Linked DNA regions of Lonchura striata. The protein of the gene in region 3 purifies or fractionates together with the protein of the main gene of each other region. This does not show direct contact. Links are inferred from orthologs where the notes say so. Each region holds a gene or a part of one and is shown on either strand. Other genes may lie near its edges.

Evidence for each region.
Region 1: the proteins of SLC6A15 (region 3) and KLHL36 purify together in Homo sapiens (co-immunoprecipitation; 3 studies listed by BioGRID and IntAct, counting the BioPlex papers as one, with this or other methods). This does not show direct contact. The link is inferred for Lonchura striata from reciprocal best matches to the Homo sapiens genes SLC6A15 and KLHL36.
Region 2: the proteins of SLC6A15 (region 3) and glycerol-3-phosphate acyltransferase 3 purify together in Homo sapiens (co-immunoprecipitation; 3 studies listed by BioGRID and IntAct, counting the BioPlex papers as one, with this or other methods). This does not show direct contact. The link is inferred for Lonchura striata from reciprocal best matches to the Homo sapiens genes SLC6A15 and GPAT3.
Region 4: the proteins of SLC6A15 (region 3) and GOLGA5 purify together in Homo sapiens (co-immunoprecipitation; 3 studies listed by BioGRID and IntAct, counting the BioPlex papers as one, with this or other methods). This does not show direct contact. The link is inferred for Lonchura striata from reciprocal best matches to the Homo sapiens genes SLC6A15 and GOLGA5.

What each region holds. Positions count from the first base shown.
Region 1 is NC_134615.1:20,615,745-20,623,245, forward strand, and holds the start of KLHL36 (kelch-like protein 36), read left to right. Parts: upstream 1-4,500; 5' UTR 4,501-4,665; intron 4,666-7,501. Other genes in the region: COTL1 (coactosin-like protein), read right to left, coding at 3,748-3,830, 4,139-4,215.
Region 2 is NC_134606.1:66,493,277-66,500,593, reverse strand, and holds the start of glycerol-3-phosphate acyltransferase 3, read right to left. Parts: upstream 3,018-7,317; 5' UTR 2,969-3,017; coding exon 2,828-2,968; intron 1-2,827. UniProt on the Homo sapiens protein: Converts glycerol-3-phosphate to 1-acyl-sn-glycerol-3-phosphate (lysophosphatidic acid or LPA) by incorporating an acyl moiety at the sn-1 position of the glycerol backbone.
Region 3 is NC_134607.1:50,534,620-50,541,804, forward strand, and holds the start of SLC6A15 (sodium-dependent neutral amino acid transporter B(0)AT2), read right to left. Parts: upstream 3,002-7,185; 5' UTR 2,980-3,001; intron 2,772-2,979; exon of another isoform or gene 2,600-2,771; intron 1-2,599.
Region 4 is NC_134608.1:15,951,485-15,958,835, reverse strand, and holds the start of GOLGA5 (golgin subfamily A member 5), read left to right. Parts: upstream 1-4,336; 5' UTR 4,337-4,462; intron 4,463-5,116; 5' UTR 5,117-5,167; coding exon 5,168-5,732; intron 5,733-7,351. UniProt on the Homo sapiens protein: Involved in maintaining Golgi structure. Stimulates the formation of Golgi stacks and ribbons. Involved in intra-Golgi retrograde transport.

The DNA.
Region 1 (7,501 bases), on a different chromosome or scaffold from region 3:
CTCCGAGTCACCCAGGGATGTTCCTTAAACCAACCTCCTTGGCTTTCCTTTGGGATAGGCTGGAGCAGAGGTGCCCACCCACGTGGGGCTGCCCTTTGGAGGCCAGAGAAGATGAATGCCTGGCTCTAAGACAGGGTCTGCTGCCTCCCAGGCAGTGTTGGAGTTGTCTGAGACAAACGGACCTTGGCAGGGACAGCACGACAGCGACTGACACACAGAAGTTCAGGGTCAGGCTGTGTTTGCAGCATCACCCCACGACCCTGAACAAAAGGCACTGAAGAAGCTCTTCTTTCCATGCTTCCTTCCTCTAGGAGTGGCAACTGCTGTCCCCAAACAGGGACGGGAAAAATCTGATAGTTTAATGATGCTGCTTGTTCAACCTTTCTGTTCCTACACAAAGTTTAGTGAAGATGTGAGGAAGAAAAGGCCCCACACCAGGATCTGTAAGATGAAGGTGTGATGGGGGACTGATGTGTAAGATGCAGGTGTGATGGGGACTGATGTGTAAGATGCAGGTGTGATGGGGGATGTGCATCTGAGAGTACAGCAGAGGAGGAAAGAAGCCACAGCAGGGCCAGCAGCAGCTCCTGGCTCAGGGCATGGGCCTCCCTGCCCCAGCTCAGCATCTGTCTGTGTCATGGTGCTCCCCCAGCAGTGGGGCTGGAGGTGTGCAGAGCTGGATTCTGACACAGCCTCACTCAGCTGCTACTTCCTCTAAAGAAAGCAATTTCAGTTTCTCTCCTTTCCCTTTGTCCCCAGCCACACTGGAACCCTGAGGAGGTTTGCAGAGGCAGTGATGGGCATGGAAAGGGTTATGGATAGGGGGGAAAAAAGCAAAAATAGGAGCTGTTGCAACAGCCCCTTGCAGCCCCCTGACCTCTGTCACTGCACAAGGCAGGACATCCACCACAGGCAAAGAGATTCCAAACTGGTAAAAAGCCCTTCAGGGTCCCAAAGCCACAGGAACCAGCACACAGTGACCCTGCCCAGTGCCCAGCAGGGCAGCAATGTGTACCAAGGTGCTTTTCATAAGAATGGTTCTTAAAGAAAGCAGGGACACGATGTTTGCACCTCAGAAACAGCTGCAGAAAGTGGAGCAGAGCGAGCTCTGATGGTGACTCTTTGCACGCTGAGATTGAACTCCCAGCTCCTGCTCTCACCTCCAACCACCAAAGGATGCTCAGCTTCTACCAGAGGCAGCTGCAGCACTTTGTGGCTTTCAGGGCAGTGTTTCTCACACAACAGGAATTCAAAACAAAGAAGTTTGTTCTGACACCAAAGTTTTTAAAAATTTTAATCACATTTTCTGAAGCTGTTTGCATTGATAGCAGCTCTTCTCCCCTCCAATAAAATGTAAAAGGAGACGGAAGAGACCAGGAGGAAAGAGATGTAGCCACAAGAAGAAATCATATTCAACAGCTTTTCCTATCCCTTGCTACTCTTTTTTACTGACTTTGTTTCAGTAGAAATATTCCAACCAACTCTGCTTTCTCCCAGATGGGAAGGAAAGCTCCAACTTCACTGCTGGCACAAGGTTTGATTCCTGACTGTGTCTAGCGGGCCAGGTGAAGGTTTGCTGCGCAGATGGAGGCTCCAAAACTTGCATCTCTTCCTTCCCCAATTGCAGCACTGAAATTCGTGGGTGGAGGAAGATCCTTTCCAGCTCTCAGCCAAGGACCAGGCACCTCAATTTGCCTTTTTTTTAAGCCTCCAGCAGCTGTGCTCCAGAGGTGGGTTCGAGGACAACTTCTTGGCCCAGGGAACAGCCCTCAGCAGGTGCATGCCAAGGGAAAGGGAAAGAAGGAACAGGGAAAGGCAGCAATGGAGCAGCTCTATGGGATTTAGCTCCCCATTAAAGGCTAACAATAGGCCACAGACTACCCCACAAGTGCCCTATATTTAACTCTTTCCTTACTGAGCTTATTTCTAAAATATGGAAAATTTCCTTTTTTTTTCTATCTTGGGGCCAGCTTGGTTTGAGCACCCTGTTTCTAAGCCCTGTAAAGAACACAGATGTGGCCACACTCAGAGTGCAGTGTGTGCCTCCACTATTTGTCATCCTCATCCTTCCCAGCCCAACTCCTGCCTGTGCTCTGCCAAAGCCCCTCTGCCTGCTCAGCCTCTCCAGAAAAGGATTCCCTTTGCCACAGAATGGAGGAGAGGAAGTTCTCAAGGGGCTCCCATCCAGAAAAAGCATTAAAAATCAGCTCAGACAAAAAGAAAGACAAGGACTGTGTAAAGGCAAGGAGAGAAAATAAATGAGGAAGGCTCCCCCACAAGCCTCAGGTGTCTGGAGACACCAGAGATGCTCAGTTACGTTGGCCAGGAGAGGAGATGAGAACGTGGCACTCAGATCCTGAAGTCACTGACCTCCCAAGGGAACAATTAACCACTGCCATGAACTTCCAAAGTGCTGAGCCCCGGGATTCTCTAGGTTCCAGGTAATTGCTTCTCCCTTCTCTTGCCCACTAAAAAGAGTTGAGTGGGAAGGAGTTCCTGCAGAGCAGTGAGCAGCTCTGCTGACACCAACCACAGCAGGACCTTTCCTAGTGCTGAGAATTTCCCCTGCAGGTTCTCAGGAACAGCTGGAAATGAGTGGCTGCATTTATCTCAGTGAGACCCCACTGCCAACATCCCAGCAGAGCAGCCTAAATCATCTTCGTTTCATAGCTCCTTTCCAAGGACTAAAATACACTTTTCTCCTGTCAGATCAGAGCTGTCCTGCCCTCACTTACATTCCTGGGAGTTCTCAATAAAGCACAGCCAAGCCCTGGGACTCCCAGTCCACGGTGTCCCCATGAACTGTCCCACCCTGAGAGGGCAGAGACTGCTCAACACAATTCCTCCACAGCTCAGACACAGAATTTTGAAAATACAGGTGAATCACAGCACTCAATCGTACAGTAACTGTCTCAGTGAGTAAGACTTGGTTACAATCCAGTATTAGTAAAAAACACTCCATATCTCACCTCACTTGGTGACATTGTTAACTAGCAGCCAAGACAGGAGGAAAACTGATTAAAACTGAGATAAAAATCAAAACCCGCTTTTGTGAAACTCATCAAAAGTCACGATCAGACACAGTTAAACACTCCCGGATTTATCTTCCTGTTGCCCAGGCTTTGTTGCTGCCCTGAATGTTCCACAGCCGGCAGCTCAACAATGCGCTGCCACGTTTAAACCTGGAGCAGCAACAGTTGTGGTTGTGCAACGCCGGATCTGCGATTGTTCTCGGGGCTGCATTGTTCGAGCCCCGCTTTGCAACGACCACCCTCCGCTCTTAAAAAAATCCCAGCAAGCCTTCCAACTCCAGTCATTTCAGTGCTACGATTTTCAGAAGGATTTCATGAGTATTTCACTCTCAACGATCTGTACGATCGCATCTTTCTAGCCACGGCAGCGGAGTCGGTTTTGCTGTGAAATTGCATTGCCAAACAAGTCGGCCGCTGCCTATCACTCGTTTTACTCGTTTTATCTGGTTTATAACCGAGAAGCACTGAAAGATTGTGCGAAGAGGGGAGAAAGAGCCCAAAGGATGTGAAGTTTAAGGGCGAGACAAAGGAGCCGCTGGACTATGGACTGGGGGGGTTGCACTCTGTGGAGCTGGAGAGGCGATCCCGCAGGACAGGGGGGCACGGCGGAGCAGCAGCGCTAATCCAGCTCCCCAAGTTTCCTCCCGTCCTTTCCCCCTCGCCCCGGGCAGCGGGAAGGGAGGAAAGGGGCCAAAGCAACGGAGAGGGAGCTTACCTGTGCACTTCCTCTTAAAGGTTTCGTAGTCTACCCCTTGGTCTCCAGGGACGATTGTAGAGCCATTGTACTTAAACGTCACCCTTCGGAGAGGGAAAAGACAAGGGGAATAATACAGTTAAAAGTCAGCTTTCCGGATGGGGGAAAGGAAAGGGGAACAACGCATTTAAAAGTCACCCTTTGGAATGGAGGAAGGCGAAGAATACACTGAACAGTCTTTAGGAAGGGAAAGGAGGAGGTGGGGAAGAATAGGCTGTGAAAAACCCATCCTTTAGGAAGAGGGGAAGAGGAGAAGGGGGCAAGGTCTGTCCAAGTCACCCTCTGGGGAGCGGGGAGAGAAGGACGAGGACCCCCAGCGCACCGCCGCCCGTGCGGGGGGATGCCGACCTACCAGTTCACCTCGGTGGCATCGTCCCTGACGAGGTTGTACGCCTCCCTGCACGCCTCCTTGTCGATTTTGGTGGCCATGGGGGCGAAGGGGAGGGGGGCAGCGCGGAGCGGCGCGGAGCTGGGGGGGCCGCGGCCGCCGCTGCTGCCGCACCGCGCCGAGCGAGCCGAGCCGAGCCGAGCCGAGCCGAGCCGAGCCCCGCCAGCCGCGGCCGTCCCGCCCCCGCCGCCGCCGCCAATGGCTCTGCGGGGCCTGGCCCGGCCCCTCCCGGCGCGGGGGGACCGCGGTGATGCAATAGCCGGGGGGACGGGGCCGCGGGGCCGCGGGGCTCGGCCCGGCCCGGCGCGGCGCGGACCCGCCGCGGGGATGCTTCGGCCGGCCGCCGCCGCGCCGGCGGGCCCCCGGTGCTCTGGCTGAGCGCCGGGAGGAGGAAAGAGGCAGAGGCGGCGCCCGCGATGGAGAAGCCGCCGGCGGCGCGGCGGGGCCGGGGGCCGGGCCGGGCGCACGGGAGGTAGCGCGGAGCGGAGCAGGTGAGCGGGGGCGAGGGGCTGTGCGGAACACCGGGGGCTGTGCGGAACACCGGGGGCTGTGCGGGGAACCGGGGGCTGTGCGGGGAACCGGGGCTGTGCGGGGAACCGGGGGCTGTGCGGGGAACCGGGGCTGTGCGGGGAACCGGGGGCTGTGCGGGGAACCGGGGCTGTGCGGGGAACCGGGGGCTGTGCGGAACACCGGGGGCTGTGCGGGGAACCGGGGGCTGTGCGGAACACCGGGGGCTGTGCGGGGAACCGGGGCTGTGCGGGGAACCGGGGCTGTGCGGGGAACCGGGGCTGTGCGGAACACCGGGGGCTGTGCGGGGAACCGGGGCTGTGCGGAACACCGGGGGCTGAGCATCCCCCGCATCCCGGCCCCAGCGCTCGGAGCGGCCCCGGCCCCGAGCGGCGGCTCCGGCGTGACTTTGGGTGGTGACAGCCGCTGCTGAGACGGGTGTGTGCGGGTGGCCGTGTGTCTGTCCGTGTGTCTGTCCGTGTGTCTGTCCGTGCCTGTGTGTGGGAGTGTGTCCGTGTCCGTGTGCGAGCGGCTCGCCCCGTTCCAATGCAGCGATCTCCCCCTGCCGGGCTCCCGGCGCTGCCCAGGAGCGAGCCCGCATCCCGGCGAGTCCCTGCGCTCCGCGGAGATGCTGGGAGGCTGAGGCTGCCTGCAAGGCTGCGCTTCAGCCCCACAGAAATAGAGATTTTTCGGGCTTTGCAGAACCCTGCTGGGAATAAACAGTACCGGGTGATGTCGTTGCCCAAGGACTGGAGTTTTACAAACCAGTCCTTAGGCATTTTAGTGGATTTCTACCCAAAACCCGTGTGACATGCAATTTAATAAAAAAACTGCATTCCTTGATAAAAAGCAACACAATTTGTTTCTTTTGCAGTTTGCAGGGGATGACCATTGCTTGTTTCCCATCAGTGTTGTCCATGTGAAGGCTGAGCAGTAGGGGCCTCATTGCCACACTGAGTGCTGTCAGACATGAGGGACAAGACCTGCAGAGCGAGCCAGGACTGCCAGGGACCCTTTAGTGGCACCGAGGCCCAGTGCTGCCCGCAGCTCCTTCCAGCTGCAGCCCCGGCCCTGAGTGACGTGAGGCTCCCGGAGCTCAACACGGGCGCTGCTGCAGTGCATCTCTGATTCGATGAGGTCATAGGGAACAGGGAAGGATTTCTGAAGTCAATACAAGTGTAGGACACCGGGTGAATCACACTCGGTATCTGTAGGCTGCAGGCTCTAGATGATAATATAATCACCCATTAATACGTCTGGATTTATATTGATTTTCTTTGCTTTTAGGAACACTTCCATTTTTCAAAAGCCTTTATGCAGAGCATTATCTGCTCATGAATGTATTTTTTGTGGTCTGTGTTTATCATCCTTTGGCACTTGCTGCTGTTTATACCTGTAACACTGCTGCTTGTCCTCGTCCTTGTCCCTTCAATCCCTGACCCTCAGCTCCTGATGTTTGCTAGTGTAGAGGAGGGTGACTCCAATGTCATCCCCTTAGGAGGAGAGAACCTCATCCTTGTGCACATCTCTGTGACCCCAGTGGCTGGAGCATTAATTCTCTTAATTAGGGACTTCATGCCTCACACTTTTCAGTGCCAGATCCGAACATCAGAAATGCACATCTTCCTTGTGGGGCCAAAAATCTTCTTCATTTTGCTTCTCTTTTTTGTCTTTTCTCACTTTTCCATGGATTTTTTTTTTTTTTTTTTTAATGCATGGAGGGATAAGTATTGTGCTCAGTTTAATCAGGCTGTAACTGGAGTGAGGAAATTACCTACATTTTGAACTTGGTGAGCTCTGGTTTGCTTTTCATATAGCAATTCTGAGACCTCCAGAACATGGGGCTTTCGTTCTGTGAGGAAGATGTCAGTGGCCTGGCAGAAATACCTGTCCATGTCACATGAGTCCTTGGAGAGGAAGCACAAGAGAAAACGAGGACTTATGGACCTCCTCTAAAAAACATCTCCAGCAGGCATGGAGTCCTGGGAGTCTGGAGTGACCTTCAGCTGTCTAGAATGTACCATGAGGTTCAGAAAGGGTCTCAGAGAATTTGGAGGGAGCTGAACAAACAGGATGGCTCTGCACAGCCATGGGCACTCAGGAACTTTAAAAGACACCCCTGCAAGTGCCTTGTCCCTGTGTCTCTTTGCCATCTCCCCCACTTTTTGCTTCTTCTCCAGTCTTTCTCTATGTCTGTCCCCAATCCTGCTTCTCCATTCCTGGCTTTTCTGTGCAGAAGCAGGAATGGAGAGAACAATGCTCTCCTTCAGGAAGATGCTGCCCTGAATTTTCAGGTCACAGTTAGCATTGCCATTGTCAATTTACAGGTGACAGTATCGGGTTGTCAATTTACAGGTGACAGCACTGGGGTTGTCAATTTTCAGGTCATAGTATTGGGGTTGTGAATTTACAGGTGACAGCACTGGGGTTGTCAATTTACAGGTGACAGCATTGGGGTTGTCCATTTTCAGGTCATAGTATTGGGGTTGTGAATTTACAGATGACAGCATTGGGGTTGTCAATTTTCAAGTCACAGCATTGGGGCTGTCAGTTTTCAGGTCACAGTTAGAATTGGGGCTGTGAATTTTCAAGTCACAGCATTGAGGTTGTCAATTTTCAGGTCACAGCATTAGGGCTGGCAGCAGAGTGGGTTTTCACTCAGACAGTCGAGGGTCTTTACCCAGGTCCTCATGGTCACACGGAGAGACCAAAACTGGCAAAAACACTTTTTATCTCCAGACTCAATAATCAACAGATGAGTACAAGTCCATCATCCTCTCTGGTTTCCTGGGGTGTCCTTGGCTGCTGCCCCAGCCCTGG
Region 2 (7,317 bases), on a different chromosome or scaffold from region 3:
TTTAGCACAATTTTCTACACATTTTCCCTTATCACATGGAAAAAAAATACAATCACACAGGAAAAAATATATCCATATAAAGCTGGTAATCCCTAGTGCAGTACTTAAGGGTCAAATGCAACCCAACAGCAGAACATCCTCATCTGTACATGCTGCGTTGTCTTAGCAGCGCATGCTTGTTGAGGCAGCTGAGCAGAGAGAAAAATCTATTGTGCAACTGCTGTCCCTTGTCAGAAAAACCAGATGGTGAAAGTACAAAAACACCTTGTTCCTAAAAGGAGCTTCCCTCTCCCTCTTCTCAGATCATACTTGTAGCACCAAGAACAAGCTTCTGCCCTCCTGAAACAAGCAGAAAAAGGTGGTTTTTTTTAATTGGCAAGAAAAAAATTCAAGCACAAGCCCCCCATCATAACTTGCCCCATCCCACAGCCTACACAACTGAACACCACAGACTCATTCTTGGATGTCTTGTTTTGCATGACATGACCTGAAGAGGTATCACAGCAAACTGTAGAACTGTCCCTGAACTATGGACAGACTTGGACCCTCAAAATAGATTAACTCGAATAAAGCAGACGTTGTAAGCTGACAACACAGGCCATGTAAGAAATAAATCACAGACACTGTGTCCTTCCACTACACAGGGGATAAAAACAGGCAAAGCCAGGGTATCACCTGGGATGCACAAACAGCCACCACTTTGCAGACAGTTCCTGTAATTTGGCCCATTAAAGAGGCAACAAAAGCAGCAACATCCTGACTGAACACTCTGCAGGTGTGAGAGCCCACCCTCCCTCCTGGAAAAGAGGGGGAAAGGCCTGGGGAGCCCCATGGCAGGGAGCGGAAGAGAAAGCTTAAGGAAGCTATTAAGTTAACACAGCTGAAAAAGGCCTCAGCCATCAGAGACTTCAGCATCCTGTAACCTCAAAGCCAAAAAGCTCTTCTCAGGAAAAAACATGCACTCTCAATTCAACATCCCAGGGAGTTTCAGCAGCCCAGCTAGCAGCACATTTCACTGTTAACACAATAGTTATTAATAACTATCCCTTATAAAAAGAAATAGACCTTCCCAAATTATTTAAATAACCGACTTCTTGAAAGTTTGACCTGCAAGGATAGAGTACTTTTCCCAATATTACTGATTAATAGCCACAGTTTAGATATTGCACATCAGGTGCTCTTGCAGGTGCTGCCAGGACCTGGCTGTAGACAATCATCCTCTGTTGGGCTTCTAACCAAGACACACCTGTGAGCAAATGAAGAGGAGACATCCCACAACAAGCCACTTCCTTTCAGGGATTCTCCCCGCACAAGTATTCTGAGGACAAAGAATTCACAGGCAAGCAAGGCCAAGTTGAGATAAGCAGAATACCTGGGCGGATTGAGCTTCCTCACTCTCCCATAGCAGTCTAATTTAGATGACTCTTCTCAGAATACTTTCCAATTTTTTATTGCCTTTTCTTTATATATACATTGGTTTATATCATATCTATGTCAAATATAATTATGTATTAATTTAATTTTTAATATATTGAGCAGCATGCAACTCCAGAAAGCATTTAATGCAAAAGTAATAAAAACTCGCAAGTGTAACGATAACTCCACAAAGTTGGCATTATTTCCTCCCTTAAGGCAATAGGAGAGCTCTCACAATTAACCATCGTCAATACGCCGCCAGATACTTCTCCACAATTTTGCGCAAAACATATTGGCTCACCTCTTGTTGCAACATTTGATGACACTAAAAAATAATGATTAATGATCTAGGAATAAAGAATGTAAATTGTGGTTATTCACAGGTGAAGGCAAGTCATCCAAACAAGACTATCTCACTGGGCCATCTGGATTGCTCCCTCAGGCCAGAGTGATCTTTACCACCTCAGTTCCTGCTATTCAAATCCTTTTTTCCACTAACAACTGCATATTCTCTCCTCAACAGTTATCTTGATACCATTCACAGTCCCAGAAATTACGGAGAACAGATTCATTCTCACCCAAAAGCCTAGAAACATTTTGCTTAAGATGTATTTAACAAATGCCGATTTAATAGGTGGGATTTTTTTTTGAAGTACAAGCCTTGCCTGAAAACCTCGAAGAACAAGATGAAATTGGACAAAATCTACTTTCCATAGTCACATAGTGATGTATATTGCATGGCCACTGAATGCTGTGGGTCATTTCACTTTTCCTCCTTACAGCTGTTTCCTTGATTTGGGTGCCCCTCCTCCTTGGAAAAAGCGTGCTAAAGATTTAAATCTTATCATGTCCAACAACAATTTAAAAACACCACTGCTCACCACTACCATGAGCTTGAGAAGGAGAGCTTTTGCACACATATTAAATACGCCCCGTGCAGAAAGCAGTTCCTCCGCGAGAAACTGGGTGTCCCTGAAAATTTAGAGGCAGCCGGCAACTGCGGCGCTGTACATGGCTCAGCTTGGATGGGAGTCGCCTCCTCTGAGCATCAGCACTGCTGGCAGCAGACCTTTACACCCTCCGAGAGCACGACCCGCTACCATTTAGCCCAAGCGCAGCGCAGCTGCCAGCGAGCAGCGACAGCCTCGCCCAGGCCATGGTACAGCCTTAGGTGACAAGGTTTATTCCGCTCAGGGTTCAGGGGCAGCGCTCCTGAGCCTACACAGCCGCAAAATTAACGCAGACCTCTCGTTTTACGCGAGGGCTTTAAGCCCGAAGCTGCAGCCGAGCAGAGCTGCTGCCAGGCAGGACGTGACCCCCAGGAGGACGCGACGGGAACGGAGCGCACGGGCGCTGCCCCGGGGGAAACCAGCCGGCAACACCCCCCTTCCCCTCCACAGCTCCCGCCTACCTCCAGCGTCTTCACCAGCACCCACATATAGGCCTCCGAAATGCCCAGCGAGATGCCCAGCGCCGAGGGCACCACGATGAGCCCGAGCACCGCGGCCAGCCACACGGCGCCCGCCTGCCCCAGAGCCCACGCCACCTCCATGGCGCGCCGGGCCGCGCAGCGCCAGCGCCGGCCCTAAAGGCCCGGCCGCCCCGGCCCGCCCCCGCCCGCCTCGGCCGCCCCGGCCCGCCCCGGCCCGCCCGCAGCGGTGTGGGCGCTGCCGTGGCTCGGGCGGAGCCGGCGGGCGGGGAGCGGCCGGAGCCGGGCGTGGCGGCGGCGGGCGGGGCGCCCGCTGTGGGGAGAACGGCTGCAACGGGGGCCGGCGGCGGGCAGCCCGCGCAGCGCGAGTGAAAAGGAAAACCGGGGAAAGCTCCTGGCTCTGCCAATGTCAAAGTGGGCAGGAATAGCTAAAGAAAGGAAAAGGAGCAAGGGCTGCGCTGTGTGTTTCTCCCGGTTTGAGCAGGGAAGGGATTCACTGAGGGTCCGGCTCCCGCAGCGGCATTAGGCCCTCTCCGAGAGCAAGGAGACTTCGTGACAACTGGCTCTGCCTGTGCACAGCCAGCCCTGCAGCACCAGGCGTGACACAATCCGTACCAAGAAAGCGGAGTTAGGAGAAAAAGGCTGAAGAGGGATGGCAGCCTTGAAAAAGCATTCCGGGGAAAGGGAAATAACATCATTTTCTGAGAAAAAGGCAGTCAGCATATTTTCTGTGGCAATCCTTCACAACTGTTTCATAGAAATGGGATGTCTGGTGTGCCTCTTCGCATTTGGACGATCAGAAATGTATCTGAGAGCCAAGTGCTCAGGATCCAATGAAAAACCTAGATTGGAGTCCAAGGCCTAAAGAACTATTTCCTTGGGAGTCATGTGGACAAGGGCATTACTTTCTGGCTCCTATTTTTGGCTCTGGTGTCTCTCCTCCTACCCTTTGCCTCATCTGGTTAAATAACTGCTCTGAGGCAGAAGCAGGACGATCCCTGATGAAGCCTCTAGACACAACCACAATTGTCCAACTGGATCTGATATTGCCAAACAACACTTCAGTGTCTTTATTCTTCTAAGTGTTTAGTTACGATCATGCCCATAAGACCCAGTTAGGATCAAGGCCATAACCTGTAAGTGCCATACACAGGGTAAAAAAGAGTTCTTACTATCTGCGCTACAAGTGGTTTTAAAATATTACAAAGATGTGTAGATTCAAGTAAATGAAAAGTGCCCAGAGCCCAGAACAGAAACAAATCAAAAGAATATTGCTTTCCAGACTGGCTGATATTTGTAACACAGATATGGCTAAGATATTTTAATTTTGTATTTTGTTGCTTCCCAAGCAGAAAGTGATACAGGTTTTTTAGTACTTGCTTGTGAATTTTCATCTGGGGTGTAAATGGCAGAGGCCAAAGGCTTGGTTATTTTGTTTTCATCTGACGTTAAGGAACAAAATGCTTCATCCAAAGGACAGATGTAGCCCAAGCAGCAACAGTAGATGCTGTCTAGATCCTGAGGAAAACAGTGCAGTGTTTACAGTAATGGGTCATACTATCTATCTACCTGAAATTTCAGTACCTTCAGTACCTTAAACAGCAACTAATGGCATCTAATTGCAATACAGATAATCCTGTACGAGGCAAAGTGTTGCCTTGTAGGTTTGTTGAGAAAAAAAATCTTAAAAACTGAAAATAATTTGACTTAGTCCATGTGCTTGTTAACCTCTTCTTTAGTGAAATGGCACACCATATGTCAAATTTGATGGCGTGTGGCAAATTCCTGAGTCTCAGAAGGCTGGAATCCATCAGTCTACCTGGAGTAACAAAAGAAGATTTTGGAGACCTCTCCTTGTAATATTCATCACATGGAATTAAGGCATTGCTTTTTTTTTGCTTCAATAGCCTGGCTATCAGACCTGCTGGCACTGTCCTCAGGCTCCATAAACAAAGAGCAGGAAGGGAACAGCCTCTACCAGCATTGGTGTTTTAAGAGGAGAGGAAGGTGGCTGGGTTGAGCCCTGCTCTCACTATGCAACAGTGGGGAAAAACACTGTGAAAATGTGTCATGACAGGAGGCAGTTTAGGCACAGGCAGCCATGCTGTGTGAGCTAAACAGACCAGGACAGAGGCAAGATTTGCACATAAACACATACTCTTATTTATTGCATCCAGGCTTCCCCTCCATGCTTGCATGAATAATTCACAAAGCTATTAATGTTAAATGGGAAGAAAAAAAAATCAATTCTGTTATTGAGTTACTTGAAAAACCACCTTGTCTGCCTGGGACAGCAGGAAGGAAACATGCCTGCTCGTCCAACAGCCTCCTGGTGACAGAGCTGCTACCAAAGTCCTCTCATGACTGTGCTGAAGTTCAGCCTTTGCACAGATCTTGCACTCCCATTGAAGAATAGTTGGCTGTTAACTGCAAAAACTGTAGACTTATTAAAAAAAACCCAACAAATCTACTTGCTCTCCTTACCGAGTGACCTTTGCCTTTTAAAGATAAAGCTGTTATAAACTGCTGACTGCTGATCATCTATCTACTGAAAATTTAGTTTCAAATTGATTACATCATTACATTTTATTTGTTTGCACTCTAATCTGTGAGGGCATAAAATTTCTCTGCCTTACTTTGACCAATGAGCCTGTTCTCCTAAGAGAGGAGGATTTTTTTTTTTGTTCAAGCACTAAGACCTTACTTTCAGTATGGGTAAGACAGTATGATATACATTGAAGATACAGAAAAAGTGTCAGTTTAAAATATTTTCCATACTTTAATTTTTTCAAGGCCTATTTAATGTAGAAAGACTACAGTTAGTCATGTTTCTAATAGAGTACTTTTCAAAAAGAAAAATCCCATGAGAATATACCAGTATTGCCATACTTGGAAGAAAACATTTTCATATATCCTTATTTTTCAATTTATTTCACAAATTACAGTGCATACCAAAAAAGTTGTGGTTGAAGTGATATGCTTCAAGTTTATCTAAATCATATGTTCCAAATGGATGCGAAAATCCAAATGGATCCAGAAAATCCAATGAGAAAATGTTTGGGTTTTTTTCTTTAACTTTGCAAGAAGTTGCTGAGATTCTTAATTTTTGACATATTAATACTAGCAACAGTGTATTTTTAGTCACTACCAAGAATATGTTTATTGTCCAAATAAACATGACTCTGTGATGTAACACATTTTTTTAATGGAAGTTGGATTGAATCAAAGACAGAGGAAAAGGATCAGTCTTACCACAATGCTTTCCTAAATTTTTTGGGGTGTTTTTTGTTTGTTTGTTTGTTTGGGGGTAGGGGGGTGTTTTGGGTTGGGTTGGGTTTTTTTGGTTTTGTTTTTTGGGGTTTTTTTGTTTGGTTTGGTTTTGTTGTTGTTTGTTTTTTGTTTGTTTGACCATGCTTACTTTATCCCTCCTAATTATCAGCACCACTCAAGATTTGGTGGTATGGAACACGGCTGCAAACTTGGTTTGCAGGATGGGGGAAATCTTGTTAACCAATCCAGGAAGAGAGCCTGGACCTCATGAGACAGCCCCAGTCTCCCTTTGCTAAGTTACTGCATATGTTACTGGCTTATGGTAGGTCAGATTTAATAAAAAGTAGCATTTCATTTGTCTCCTGTCACTGGAGCTGGGCAGCTTCAGAATATCAAACAGTTCCATTTCATGTAAATATCAGTGTATTATTGCAAGTAAATAGGGTCAGGGTGGTTATCCCAGTGCTCATTTTTATCTTGTGCTGTTGAGGAATGGCAGGTAGCCAGCAAACCATTCAGGGGAATTCTGCATTCTGTCATCTGTCTTCTGGCTGCAGGCAGGGTATGCTTTCTCTCTACCACTGTATTTGCTATAACTCACTGTAAAAATTGGTACGTTTTATACAAGGAGTCAGATGTTTTCAGCTTCACTTTGTATCCTAAGTGGAATTTTACTGTCTGCTGTCATGGACTTCTAATTCTTATTACACTGAAAATAAATAAAAGTAGTTTGGCTTCCACACAGCCTTTGAGCCTGGCAATGTGCACTGACGGAGCTGCAGCCTTGTGTGTTGTCTCCAGCAGCAGCAAGGGCTTATAAGCACTGTGCACTTCATAAACACAGCACCCAGGCATGCCCCACCTCAAACAATTTAATTTACAGACTTTAGAAGTTTAGGTTTCTAGGAATTAATCAATCCAGCTCAATTAAAACCAACCAACCCAGCAGACGTGCTAGAATTTGTGACACCAATACAAGGAGCAGGCCACAAGGATGGCACCTCCTTTGGCTGTTGACCATGATCTGGCAGCCTGGATTTCTACTGCATTGGGAGAGAGGAAACAGGGAAGGAAAAAACATGGAAGTATTATTCCAGAACTCCATGGTCTCCTTAATGACCGAAAGTTCCAGGTCAATATAATTAACCACTTAAAAAGAAACTTTTTTCCATTCACAGCAGGATTTTAAGGAAGGACAAGAC
Region 3 (7,185 bases):
TGCTTAATGCAACCATTCTGGCACTTACCACTGCATTTTCACACCCCTTTGTACTGTCTCACCAGGATTTGTGCTTAAAGCTCTTCAGTAGAATAGCATTTGGTTGTCATTTGTCAGTGACACTTTTTGCCCTCTGAATTATTTCAACACATTGCCTGAGTAATGGCAAGGTTACTTTGAATCAATTTTCAAGGACAAATGGAGTTGCTCAAGTGGCCACCTGCTGATACGTCAAAGTTATTCTGCAACTGAGAATTCAGAGATCTCTAAAATCATGTGTAAAAGCTGCTACCATTGCTATGCCGATCTATTAACATTTGGGACTGAAAACTGTTCTTCCAAAATCAACAGGTATTTTGTCTTTTAATTAAGAACATTAATAATGGAGATGAGTGAAATGGTCAGAATAAGGGAAATAGCTGGGAAAACGGGTAAAAATGTCCTTAATATTGTGTATACTTCTGGAACAGTACTCTAGAGAATTTCCAAAATAAAATCTTCCCAGAAAGATTCTACCACAAACACTACAAGTGGTAATTCCATACCACTTGAGCAGCAACTACTCCTTAACAATGTCATCTGAAAAAAAGGAATAGCTGCAATGAGTAGATTGTGTTTCTGAGTAATTTGTGATTTTTTTTTTTTCCTCACTAATTCAGCATTTTAAAAATCTTGTGCATGCAGGATTTTGCAATATGGAAAAAAGACAACCGTAACAATGACGAGACATGAAAAGTCAAAAAGAATCAGATTATGCTATAAAACTAGTTTCAAGATGCCTTGGCAGATTCACATAATCAGCTTTCTGTATTGGTGACACATCTGAACGGCTATGAATGGTTTGGTTTTTCAGGCATAGATCAAAACCAATGGGATTTTTTGTTCTTGAGTCTGAAGTGCAGAGCTGAGCCCAAAGGGAGTGTCCAATATGCACCGCATGCAGGCTGTGAGTCTATGATTATATTAATATGGGGTGTGGGTAAACAAAAAACTTGTATATTAGCCAAAACAAAATTAAGCAATCTTTCCTAAGTATTTTTCACAGTTTCCTTTCTAATGTGATGCTGATAATGGGAAATATACTGCTAAACAGAAAAAAACCTGATTATGTTGTCATCAGTTTTTAATCAAATGGCGAGAAAGCTGCCTGCACAATACATCCAGCATATATTTATATGACATCAGATAACAAAATCTTTACTTCATTTGCACTTTTCTTTGTAGGGGGGAAATTGGGTCCATATCCTGTGATATGCCACAGTGACACACAGATGGTAATATACTATTTAGAAATTATTAGGCTTATCTTAGAAAACAACACTACAGCAATGAGCTTGTTATGTAGCAGCAGCACACTGAAAATAAAATAGTTGATGATAATGTGGTCTTTAACAAGTAAAACGCAGTGCAATTTACTTAAATAGATGAAATCCAATCACCCCATACCCTCAATTCTCATGCGTGCCAGGTCAGTGTGACTGTGCATTCGTATTACGATCATCTCATTTACTTCCACCACAAAAGCAAAGCCTTGCAAAGAAGTTCCAGCTCGCTCTAACACTAGCAAAATGATAAAAAATCCAGGCAATAGGGGCACAGAAAATTAAACGGATTAATAAGCAAATCAAAGAGGAAAAGAATCACTAGAACACTGCAGGTATGAATCTACCCTGTGGACATGTCGTGGTACACGGCGGGCTACAACCATCAAAATCCTGCACAGAAAATAAATCCGAGAGGCACGAAGGTTGGGAGAAGGTTCTCATTACCATACCCACCCAAACATGGCTGACACCGGGGCGCAGCAGCCCCCGGCCGCGGGGTGCCCCCGCCTTCGCGGGGCGAGAGCCGCGGCTGGCGCGGCGCCGCGAGGCACCGGGAGCCCCGCCGGGCGCCGCCCACGCTCCGCAGCAACAATGCAGCGCCCGGGCCCGGCCCGCGCCCTGGGGCGCGTCCGCCCGCGGCACATGGTGCGGATGGACCCGCGGCACCCGGCTCCTCAGCGGCCGGCTGGCCCTGCTCTCCCCGAGCCCGGGCTCGTCCGTGCGGCGAGCACATCACCGGGTGCTCCCGGCGGGGAGACAGCCCGCGCCCCGCTGCTCCCGGAACACGCGCTACACATGCGGCTGAGATTTTTTACGCAACACGCGGGAGATGAATGAAATTTCTTTCGCTCGAAAAAAAGATGTGTTTCTCGCCCTTGCCAACAGCAATAATAATAATAATTACGGCGATTAAAACAGCACCGTACATCCTTTTAACCTACCGCCAACTTAAAACACATGGGCGGCTTCTAATCGGCGCTCGCTATTGTTTCCCGAGGGGCCGGCTCTCTCCGCGCCAGCGAGAGGCTGGCACCACGGCCAAAGTCCCGCTCGGGCTAGGGAGACCCCCGAGCCACAGGAAGGCGGCCGCCGGCGGAAAGGATCCCCACACTCATCCTGCCCCTTCCCGCCCGGCGACACGGCCAGGCGGCCACGCTGCTCCCGCGGCCGCATGGCAGGGCTGGGAAAGCGCGGGCCGCCCGCGCACCGCGCTCAGCGCCGCGCCGCGCCGTACCGTGCCGTACCGTGCCCTGCCATGCCGTGCCGTGCCTTACCTCCGCCCGCCGGGCGCCCGTTGCGAACAGGGGGGGCCGGGTGCCCCCGCGGGCGAGGATGGCGAGCGGGGCCGTGCGGGCGCGGGGCTCAGCGGCGGGCAGGCGGTGGCAGCCACATGTGCCCAACCCTCACTGCGGCGGCGCTTAAAGACAGGCATAAGAGCGGCGGGGGGAGAGGAAAGGGGAGGGCAGCGCCGGGCCGGGGGAGCCGCACCTCCTGACGCAGGGAGGAGCGCACACCCACCCGCCTGCAGCAGCATCTCTCTGCCGGAGGCGGGCGGGGAGGAGGCAGACGCGTCAGCGAAAGGAGAAGTAGGCCGCCGTGCCAAAATCCCCGCGGTCACGCTTGGGCAGCGCGGGTGCCTCGTTTCTGCCCTCACCTTCATCCCCTGCCGCCTCTGCGCCCAGGCGGGTGCCGGTGCCCAGGTGCCGTGTGCCGCTCGCGCGGGCTGCGAGCGGCCCGCCCTGGCCTTCCTGCCGCGGGGGTAGCGGCACACGGGCGGGGGGGCGGCCGGGAGGCGCAAGTAGGCACACGGATGGGAGCTTCCTCGGAGAACACCCAAGTTTTCCAAAAGAAGGAGATTACTGGGAATGAGGGGTCTGGGACCCAGGAAGGAAGAGAGGTCCGTCGCGGGGCGGCCGCAGCGAGTACATCACCTGTGTGCTGGAGGCCGGCAGGCGGCTGGGAGCGAGCTTGGGGGCAGAAGGGGTGGAGGAGAGACGTGGGAAGAGTGGAAGGCACCGACCACCCCCATGGTGATGGGACACAGGTCTTGTAGCCCTGACTCCTACAGCTGCTTCAGTCGCAGGACGGCGATGTTTGACTTCAACGCTTCCCCGAAAGATTCCGTCATTAAGTGTTCACTGCCATTCGGTCAGTTTTTTCTCTGCTTGCATTTCATTTTAGGGAAAAAAATAATAAAAAGGCAGATCGATCCTGTAATGAACAAAAGAGCCTTCCTGGTTCCCATGGCAATAGTGGGACACTGCTGGCTCTAGCTAAGTACTGATATTGAAATGTTAATTAGCTAATTGCTCTGTCTAAACTACCTGGAGATTACCTGCCTCCCCTCCCCTTCCCCCCCGCCATTCTAGGACTAAGATGCAAATAGGGGAGCCCGTGGAACCATGAGAGCGTGTTTTGGGGGATAAAGACACCCCTAAGTGGAGAGCTAAACACAGAGAGGGGGCTGGACAGGTGCGCTGGCTGAGGGAGAAGGATCGATGTTTGACCTGTCACCATCACCTGCGGAAGACTAGACTGGAGTGGACTGTGGGAAGCAGTAACAAAAGCAGATTTTCCTAGTATTACCACGAGGAAAGGAGAGGGGCGTGCTGCTGCTCTGGACTTCAGCTACAGACTATGCATGCCTCCTTCCCCTGTGGCTACCTGGTAAAGCTATAACAGTGGGGGCGAGCTCCGTGTCAGGCCCCCTGCCCAGCTGATCTTTTTAATAAAGAGCTGAACATTAATAAAGGCATTAGCCCTATTCATTACAGATCCTGCCTAGCAAGGAAAACTTGAAGTAAAGATGAGGAAGTGAGCTCAAAGGCGTGGCAGCCAGGTGGGAGAGGCCCGTTGGCCTTGCTGTGGATAGGCATTGAATGGAGAATGAACTGATTTTAATGCTTGCTGTGTGAACAATTGCAGCAGCTTCAGTCTTAATATACGTAGCCTTATTACACGTCGTGAATCGAGGAGAGATTTTCCTCCAGAGTATGGAAGATAGTCTGCCTTGATGATCTGCGTTTCTTTCAGCTTTTACTGAGAAACCTGTGATACAAACTTATTTTCATTTCTGTTTCATTATTAAAAGTAATTCATCAGAGCATTGTGTGTTTCCTGCTATTGGTGCTAGTTCACTTAACTAATCATTTTCACAATGTATTTCAATTATACAGCCCTTTAGACAATAGATTTTGTACTTACTAAATATTGTTTGGAACTGAGGAAAAATGAGCTTGTGTTAAGTTTCTAACTGTGAATTAAGTTTCTTTTACTCTAAGTACTAATAAGAGGAAGAATTTATGCTTTCATTTGCCAGCTCACGAGTGATACTTTATCGATTTCTCGAGGTTCGGATTGAAGGTACTTGAGATGGTATTTTATGTTTGAACTTAGGTGTTTCTTATTTCTTACCTATGTTATAGTCTCACTACTGTGAATAGAGCAGCTTTTTCATTAATAAGGTACTAAATGATTAACTAACTCTTGTTACAAGGTCTTTTAAAACTAAACTATCCAATTAAGAAAGGACACTTAAATTATTTTCCTTTTTAATCTAATAACTGACCCTTTGAAGTCTGGAATACAGACTTTTCTGTCTAATCACAAAACATCACCTAAACCTATGAAGAAGAAGGAAGAAGGTAAAAAAGAACAATCTGCCTGCACCCTAAAACTTCTATCTTGCTTTATACTTATTTCTATATTCTAAAATCCCAAACTCTTAAATTTCCTACCCTACTTCTAACCAACTACACACTCGTAATCCCAGTGTTATTAATAAATTTTAAAAGCCTGTTCTACAACCTTAGGTCAAATGCAGTGTTCTCTTGTGGGTCTGTACCTTTAAGCACAGAAAGTTTAAAATTCTCAGTGTCTAGGATTCCAACAATTCTTTTATTTAGTAAATTAACTAGTAATGTTAATCAGATGACTGCATAGTTAATTGAAAGAGGAAGAGGTCATTTCTGGATCCCTTTAAATTCTGTGTACCCTTAATGGTGAGTTTAGATCTGAGGTGGGGTGCCGTACACACACAGACACAGAAAAAGTCTCATTTGGTGGTCTGACTCTCCAAATGTATCTGCTTGTGACTCAGGAGATTTGAGGATAGAGAAAAAAAATGTAAGTGGAAAGCAAGAAATGCCAGCAAGACAAAAATCATTATTAGCAAAGCCCAAATGCTGATGCACTAAAGTTCTACACCATCAAACCTTTAAAGAAAAAAATGCAGAAGGAGAGAAAATGACTGGAAGAAAAGTGGTTATGCCAGTTTTATCTTTCTGCTAGGTTTTGCTATCTTGTCTCTCACGTAGAGATTTTAAATACCGTAAATTGGAAGAGAATCACAAGGATCATCAAAGTCGAAAGTCCTGGCTTGAACAAGTCCTGAGCTCTTTCAGGCTCCATGCTGTGACCACTTTCCTGGGGATCCTGTTCCAGTACCCAACCATCCACTGGGTGAAGGACCTTTTTGTAATGTCCAGCCTAAACCTCCATGACACAGCTTCAGGCCATTCCCTCAGGTCCTGTCACTGGTCACCACAGAGCAGAGATCAGTGCCAGCCCCTCCTCTTCCCCTCACGAGGAAGTTGTAACTGCGGTGAGGTCTCCCCTCAGTCTCCTCCAGGCTGAACAGACCAAGTGACCTCAGCCACTCCTCAGATGGTGTCCCCTCAAAGCCCTTCACCAACCTCCTGTCCTTGCCCTGAAGTCTCTCAAAGAGCTTCATGTCTTTCCTATATGGGGTGTCCAAAATGTCCCCAGCCCTTGAGGTGAGGCCACCCCAGTGCAGAGAAGAGCAGGACAATCCCCTCCCTTGCCCAGCTGGCCATGCTGTGCCTGATGCCCCCAGGACAGGGCTGGCCCTCCTGGCTGCCGGGGCACTGCTGGCTCATGTTCAACTTGTCATCGACCAGGACCTCCAGGTTGTTTTCTGTGGTGCTGCTTTCCAGTATCTCATTCTGGATGGATTCTCATTCCAGCATGGATTTCCTCACTGCAACACTGTTTTTGTGTTCTGGAGACACTGAGAAAGGCACCTGATTCTTCCCAGACTTGGGCAAATCGAGTACCTTGCAAGGATTGGCCCAGTCTCTCCATACATCCAAGGCTGCCTCATCCCAGGTACAGAATCTGACACTTGGGCTTTTTGCATGCAAATATAATTAATATTTTCAGTGCCTATAAATGACATTTTTTTATATGCTGGGTAAATGTGGAATTTTTATTGCATTTTACACCTTTTGAGTCTGTTACTTTTGTGAATATTTTCTCTTTGTCTTAATGTTAGCTTAGTACTAAATTTTACCCTAAAATATTGCACTCCAGAATATTGTGGATTATAAACTCAGTGATACCAGCTATACTAGTTTGTGTAAGAAACAACCATTCCTATTTTTTCCATATTTTTCAAAAGGTTTCATTATCGAGAAATTCTAAATCACTTATGATCCTTTTCAACTTTTTTTTTTTTTTTCATTTTATTAAATGTAACTTCTTTGGTTAAGAACTGTAGCAAATCTATTCAAGAAAACAAAAATATGCTTTGTTTCTAACAGTAGCAGTAGGGTTAATTAAAATGACAGAGTAAAGATGTTTTATATAAGTTGCCTATTATTACTTTATATTATTATTGCCTATTATTATTTTATGACAATGAATATGTTGAGGAACTTCAGCTGAACAGAACAGAGCCACTGACAAGTCACTGTAAATTCTTATTGCTGGATCATTCTGTCTGTTCTTAGTTCTCTAGGAGATGGCATCTGGTCAAGATTCTGAAGGAGATTTTGCCTTATTGCTCAAGTTACAAATTATCCCTTTGGACATAGCAAGCATATTAAGCATGGATTTCCTG
Region 4 (7,351 bases), on a different chromosome or scaffold from region 3:
TACTGCATGAATCAAAACCCTTAGACCAGATATGTAGTTGTGTATTAATATATCATGACACATGAAAAAGAAGGCTGATTGAGGATGTCATGACCCATTTTTTAAATTGTATTTTTTGTTGTTGTATTTTTTGTACTTTATGGTTTTCAGCACAGTCTTTTACAGAAGCTAACCACTCAAGTTTTATTTCAGTATACTTAGAGAAGAGGTTAACCTAGTATAAGTCAAGTGACTATGTATCTGTTTTGCCTCTTCTACCTATAAATTTACCTTAATGAACAATTAAGAACCTGTGAATCAGGTCAAAGTGGAAAATAGTAATTTTAATTTTTTTTTTCAACTGCAGAGCCTGCCTCTTTTTTGAATAAAAAAAAATCATACCTAAAACCCCAAATGTTTTCTTGCAATGAGTTTTGAGAGAGTAAGTTAATCTTGCTGTGTTACAGTTATTGGGGCAGATATTTTCCAGCTTTGTTATTTAAATTTCCTTACAATGAGAGTTATAATAGGCAAAAATAATGCCTGTAAATTATAGTTTAAAATTACTTCTACTTTGAGTATGAATAGGGATCTAAAGGCTTTGTACAGAAAGTCTAATTTTTTACAGCTAGATATGAATCTTGCCCTTTTTGTACTTGCAGACAGAGAATTGCAGCCAGAACCTGTCAAACTATGTAGCAAGATGTGTAGCATCTCAGATCAGGGCCTGGACCCTGGGGAGGGCACCTGTAAACTGAAAAGACACCTGAAAAGTTTTCAGTGGTAGTTAATGAAGCTGTATGCCCCTTGTGACAGAATTAAATATTCTCACCACTCAGCCTGGCAGTCACAGCATTCTTAGAAGTAACTGTTGACACAGCAGACCTAAGGGACTTTATAAATAGGTCAGTGGAACAAGCAGCAAGTTCTCTTTCCTTCTTCTATCTTCCTCCCCACCCTGCGAAACCTCAGAGCATCAGTTATGGGAATAAAAATGCATCTTAAAGAAGCACCAAGGAAAGAGATATCACTAACTATTCAGGTCTCAGCCAGTAAACTTTCTGCTATATTTTTTATAATTTTATAAATAAAAACATTATTTTTGGAGACTGTCAGTGATTGTGAAAATGTAAATAGAACAAATTTCAGTAGTTTTGCTGTAACCTTTATGTCTTCTAGAAATCAGGCAGTTGCAGAGATTATCACATGTGAGACTCTAAATAGTGGGGGGAATGTAGTGGAGTTACTACGTTTTATCAGAGCATTCAGAGGGAATAAATGTTTCCCAGGTTACACATAAAGTATGATTTGTTGTATGGAATGATTATATAACTGAACAATTCAATATAAAATCTATACAGGACTTAAAGGATTTGTTTTCCCCCACTCTTACCAATCCCTTTATGAATACAGGATTCCTGTTTTAAACATTTAGAATGAACAGGGAAAGAGAGTTGCCATGGAATTTACTTCAAGGTAAATAATGATGTCCTCTGCAAGGACTGGAAATTCTCAGCCTGTGGACTGTTCAGATGTGATCCTAGGAGTCTGCCTAATCTTGAATAAAAGGCACTTCTGTCCAGCCATTTACTTATCTAAACTATTCTGCATCTATAACATGATTCAGTCAAACAATGCAATGGCTCTAGAGTGGAATGGTACATGCTAAAATGTGATTTGAATTCCTCTTGCTGGTTATCCATTTCTGCTGTGTGTATATTTCCTAAACAGGTTTTCACACTCTAATGCAGAGAAGGGATTGCTAGATGCAGTGATGCAATAGGATATTTTCGGGATTGAAATATGCTTTGTTTCTATCCCCTCTGTAAAAGACAGAGATAAACTAGGGATTTGGCTTTGGCCCTTCATGTTTCTTTTGAACATTTTTCATGTCACTTTAGTGTGTAATGATCAAATACTTCAAATATTCGCAATCATATGTGATTTTTCCATTGAAAGGATTGGTCATGTGTTTTGAAGGGTGAACAATTTAAGTAAAACAAGTTAAGTATAAACTTGTAATTAATAAAATCTCTTAAAAATATTTCCTTTTCTTAGTGCCTGAGAAGGTGATACATTCACATTAATTAAAATGATGCTTATGTGCAGCTGATTCACGTGATGTAAAAGTTGAAGGTTATGAATTTGTTTGGTTTATTACTGTTATTTTCAATGTGTTGCTTGATCTGCAGTGAGGCAGGATAGATTTTCTATTAACTCATGCCAGTACTAGTGCCAAGAGTATGTTCTGAATAGGCAGCAGGGCTGATGTCTCCTGCTTGGGCTTAAGTCCTAAGGATGGCCAATGATAATTGATAATTCATGTCTGTTAGAGAAACATTTTGAAGCCTTTGACCTACAGAGGAACTCTTCATAATCTTTTCAAATACTGTGTGTTCAGCATTGGAAGAGGAGTACCATGATAAGATATAAGGAAACTTCTGTAAACATTCAGATAATTTGATAACAGCCTAGCAGTGAATTTAATCAGAGAATACTTGTAAGATGTGATCTGACAAGATAACAACTAGGGCTGTGGGAAACACGGATGTAAGTCACCAGCCATGCATTCAGCATTATAATCAGGAGGACAAGAGGTCCTCAACCAGAGGAGGATCTGAGGGCTTCTGTTCTCTACCAGAATGTCTAGTCTGTACTCCATCCTTGTCCCTGTGCTATTTTGCTGTTATTTATTTTAGAAAATTGAAGCAAGTGGTTCTATTATTAATAATGTAGTTAGAATATTATTTGTTTAGTATTTTGAGTATGTAAAGTATTGTAAATGCCAGTAGTGTAAGTCTTGTCTTCACTCACATTCTTGCTGATACAAGTGTTGCCTTCACTCACATTCTTGCTCATTCAGGCATGAGTAGAAACTCTCTGTGAATTGTGGTGGTTAACTGTGATATGTTTGTATGGAAGGTTGAGGAAATAAATAAAGGGAGGTGAGAGGATGAACAATAACAAAACCTTATGTAGTGCTTTAAGTGTATCTTAAGCGTAGTTTATGTATACTTTAACAGCTGTCCTTACTCAGAATAAGCATTTGAAGAGGGATAATAGCCGTAAATCTTGAAATGATTCAAGTATTGCAGGTTGCAGACATTGAGTCACAGATGACAGGGAAGGACGTGACGGTCAGGAGTGCGCAGCACTTGGGAATGCGGTTTCACTGGGGGTTTGGCACCAGCAGCTGGGCTCGCTGGTCTGTGAGCTCTTTCCCAGCGCAGCTGATCCTGCGCTCCTGCGGCACCCGCAGCTCCCGGCGCCTCTCGCCTCGCGCTCACCGAGAGCGCCGCCAGGGGGCGCGCGGCGAGCGCCGCTCCCGCCCGCGGGAGGGGCGGGGCCCGAGCGCGCCGGGGCGGGGCCCGAGGGCGCCGGGGCGGGGCCCGAGCGCGGCGGGGCGGGGCCCGAGCGAGGCGGGGCGGGGCCCGAGCGCGCCGGGGCGGGGCCCGAGCGCGCCGGGGCGGGGCCCGAGCGAGGCGGGGCGGGGCCCGAGCGCGCCGGGGCGGGGCCCGAGCGAGGCGGGGCGGGGCCCGAGCGCGCCGGGGCGGGGCCCGAGCGCGCCGGGGCGGGGCCCGAGCGCGCCGGGGCGGGGCCCGAGCGAGGCGGGGCGGGGCCCGAGCGCGCCGGGGCGGGGCCCGAGCGAGGCGGGGCGGGGCCCGAGCGCGCCGGGGCGGGGCCCGAGCGAGGCGGGGCGGGGCCCGAGCGAGGCGGGGCGGGGCCCGAGCGCGCCGGGGCGGGGCCCGAGCGCACCGGGGCGGGGCCCGAGCGAGGCGGGGCGGGGCCCGAGCGAGGCGGGGCGGGGCCCGAGCGCGCCGGGGCGGGGCCCGAGCGAGGCGGGGCGGGGCCCGAGCGCGGCGGGGCGGGGCCCGAGCGAGGCGGGGCGGGGCCCGAGCGCGCCGGGGCGGGGCCCGAGCGCGCCGGGGCGGGGCCCGAGCGAGGCGGGGCGGGGCCCGAGCGCGCCGGGGCGGGGCCCGAGCGAGGCGGGGCGGGGCCCGAGCGCGCCGGGGCGGGGCCCGAGCGCGCCGGGGCGGGGCCCGAGCGCGCCGGGGCGGGGCCCGAGCGAGGCGGGGCGGGGCCCGAGCGCGCCGGGGCGGGGCCCGAGCGAGGCGGGGCGGGGCCCGAGCGCGCCGGGGCGGGGCCCGAGCGAGGCGGGGCGGGGCCCGAGCGAGGCGGGGCGGGGCCCGAGCGCGCCGGGGCGGGGCCCGAGCGCACCGGGGCGGGGCCCGAGCGAGGCGGGGCGGGGCCCGAGCGAGGCGGGGCGGGGCCCGAGCGCGCCGGGGCGGGGCCCGAGCGAGGCGGGGCGGGGCCCGAGCGCGCCGGGGCGGGGCCCGAGCGCGCCGGGGCGGGGCGGTTCCCCTGCGCCTGCGCGCGGCGCCCCCGGAAAGGCGGCCACGTCTGCCGGAAGCGCTGGGGCTGCGCTCGCCGCCGGCCCCTCACGGCTCCCCTCGGGCCAGAGCGCCCCCCGCGCTTGCAGGAGGTGAGGCCGGGCCGGGCCGAGGCCCCCGCCGCTCCTGAGCGGGGCCGGGCCTGCGGAGGGCGGGGGGCAGGCGGTGCTGGGGGTGGGGGAGCGGCCGCTGTGAGCGTCGCCTTCCCGGAGCTGGGCTAGAGGGGCAGCCCCCACCGTGGTGTCGCAGCCCCCACCGTGGTGTCGCAGCCCCCACCGTGGTGTCGCAGCCCCCACCGTGGTGTCGCAGCCCCCACCGTGGTGTCGCAGGCCCCTGGTGCAGGTGAAGGCACGCAGCTGTCCGCCGTGTCACGGGAGAGGCAGCGGGCTGCAGAGTTTGTGGGGGAGAGGATCCTGGCCTGAGCCGGGTTGGGAATTTGCAGGCCAAACGGCTTAAGGCGTAGTTGTTTTCTCTTTGTGATACTCTGTAGCAGCCGAAGATACCAGCAACTGATGCAGTGGTCTGATTTTAACAACCTTGGTTTAAAAACCGAGGTTTTGTTTGTTTTTTTCAGAAACTGGTTTGGTTTAGTTCCCTTAGTTACCGAAAGAGCAAAATACCAAATAAGCAGAAGAAAAGTATTACAATAACTGCAGCACTAATACCTTTGCACACCAGTTTAGATAAACAATACATCTTGCCTTAGCAGCAGCAATCTAATTTGTAAATCCTTCTGTCTTTTGCAGTACATGGTCCTGAAATCTTAATTGTACAGACTTCATCAACAGACACTCATCATGTCTTGGCTTGCTGATCTCGCTGGAAAGGCAGAGGATCTGCTCAACAGAGTTGATCAAGGAGCTGCATCAGCTCTGAGCAAAAAAGACACATCAAGCAGTGTGGTTTATGATAAGAAGAACTTGGACTCTGCCAACGAGTATTCTGAAGCACACCAGCATACTGGAGAACTGAAATACCAGACCTCATCTAAAGCAGCCTACATCTCCTCAGCAGCTGAAAATATTAAACACCAGAAGGCCACAATGCTGGCAGGAACAGCAAATGTTAAAACAGCACGTAGGACATCCTTAGAGGCAGCTTCTCCAGTAGAAAATGCTTCCACACCCAGAGCTGCCTCACATTTTGTGAGAAGAAAAAAGTCAGAACCTGATGATGAGTTGCTATTTGATTTTCTCAACAGTTCAGAGAAAGAACCTAATGGAAGGATAGATTCTAAAAAGGAGAAGAGCAAGGCACCTGTTCTTCAGAATCACTCTCGGACTTCAAGCATTAGTTCTGTGTCTACCAGTACACAGAGTGCAAAAACTACTGAGGATAATTCCTTCAGGAGCCAAGGCAATGGTAGTTAAATAGTATTGAACCTAGAAATATTTAAAACCCAAGTATGTCTAGGGTAAGGCTAGGTATCACATGAAACTTCATGTCACTCATGGAACATTTAACAGTGCTAATGTCAGATGGGTGAGGTACAGCAGGGCCTTTCAGGTTTTTTCCTCACTGGGGCAATACTAGAGACTATGCTAGTTTGACAGACAGCATAATGGATACCTAAATCCTTTGGCTCTGGACCTGCCCTGTTGCTACTGCTCAGCCTGACCTGTCTGAGCTGTGGTCTAACCCTGCATCAGCCCCGTGTGTCCCCGTGTAGGAGCACAGGTGCTGCCCTTTTGTTTGGTCCCTGGGCCTGTAGCTGCTGTTGGCAAGTGGGAGGGGAGTGACTTTCACCCACGATGAGATGGTGTTGGCTGCTGCCCACTGCAGCTTGAGGGGCAGGGTAAGGCATTCCCTGTTCACTGTGCAGGAGGGGTGAGCTGGCAAACATGCTTGTCCTGCAGGAAGCTGGATGCAGACAGGCTGGTGTAGAGCCACAGGCATGAGAGGGCCAGAGAGATAAAGCCTCTGTGTTTGCCAGAAGTAGTTCATGACTGCTTAATCCAGAGGCCTGAATGAGCCTCCAGGCCAGACAGTCAAAAGCTGGGGCTGGGCTCAAGTCAAACACAAATGAGAACGTGGCTGGGAAGTGTCAAGGACTTCTGTTCTCTACCAGGCTGTCCAGTTTATACTCCATCCTTGTTGCTGTGCTACTTTGCTGTTATTTATTTTAGAAGTTGAAGAAAGTGGTTCTATCATTAATAATGTAATTAGAATATTATTTTTTTTAGTACTTCGAGCGAGTAAAGTATTGTAAATGCCAGTTTTTTACTTACTACATTAGGTATGCTGAAAGGCTTTAGACATAAAAAAGGATAATTTCCAAACATGTGAATATTTTTCTGAGCCCATGGCTTTTCAGTAAGGTTTACTGCTACTAATAAATAAGACAGATATGTTAGACCTGACTCTATGGCCTTGCTGATTGGTGCTTAAAAAATATTTGTTTTTCTCAGTGTGGCTTGTTGAGTTTTCTTCTGAGGATTTTTTGAGCAGAGTTCACATTGTGGAGCTGCTAAATAAGGAAGAATACAGTTACAATACAGGATTTGAACACACTATTTTCAAAAGTTCATTGTACAGATATATTTGTGTCATTTAAATATTCAGCACACAATCTGTTGAAGTAGCTTATAATGTGTTAGCTATAGACAAAACCAGTTAACATTACACTTTGTATATTGCCATGATTATAATCTAATCTGTGCTGTAAGTGGCTCATTTCTTGCTTCATTATCTTAATTAATCTATTGAGTTTTCCAGACAGAGAAATGAGCCTAAATTATTTCATAAGTTGGAAACTGTGTAAGTAAATCAAAGGAAAGATAATGACACTTCTTAGGATCCCTTTAAGTGGAAAAAGGCTTGAGAAAATGTGGAATAAATCTTCTGTGACTGCTGCTACTTATGGGTGTGGTGTTGCTCAGAATTATTAGTGTGCCCCCATTCCCTGGGCTTGGGGTGTTTGGAGCTGTTGCAGTGATAAGAAAAGTGAAGCAGCTTGGTTAATGATCACAAGGGGAAGTACA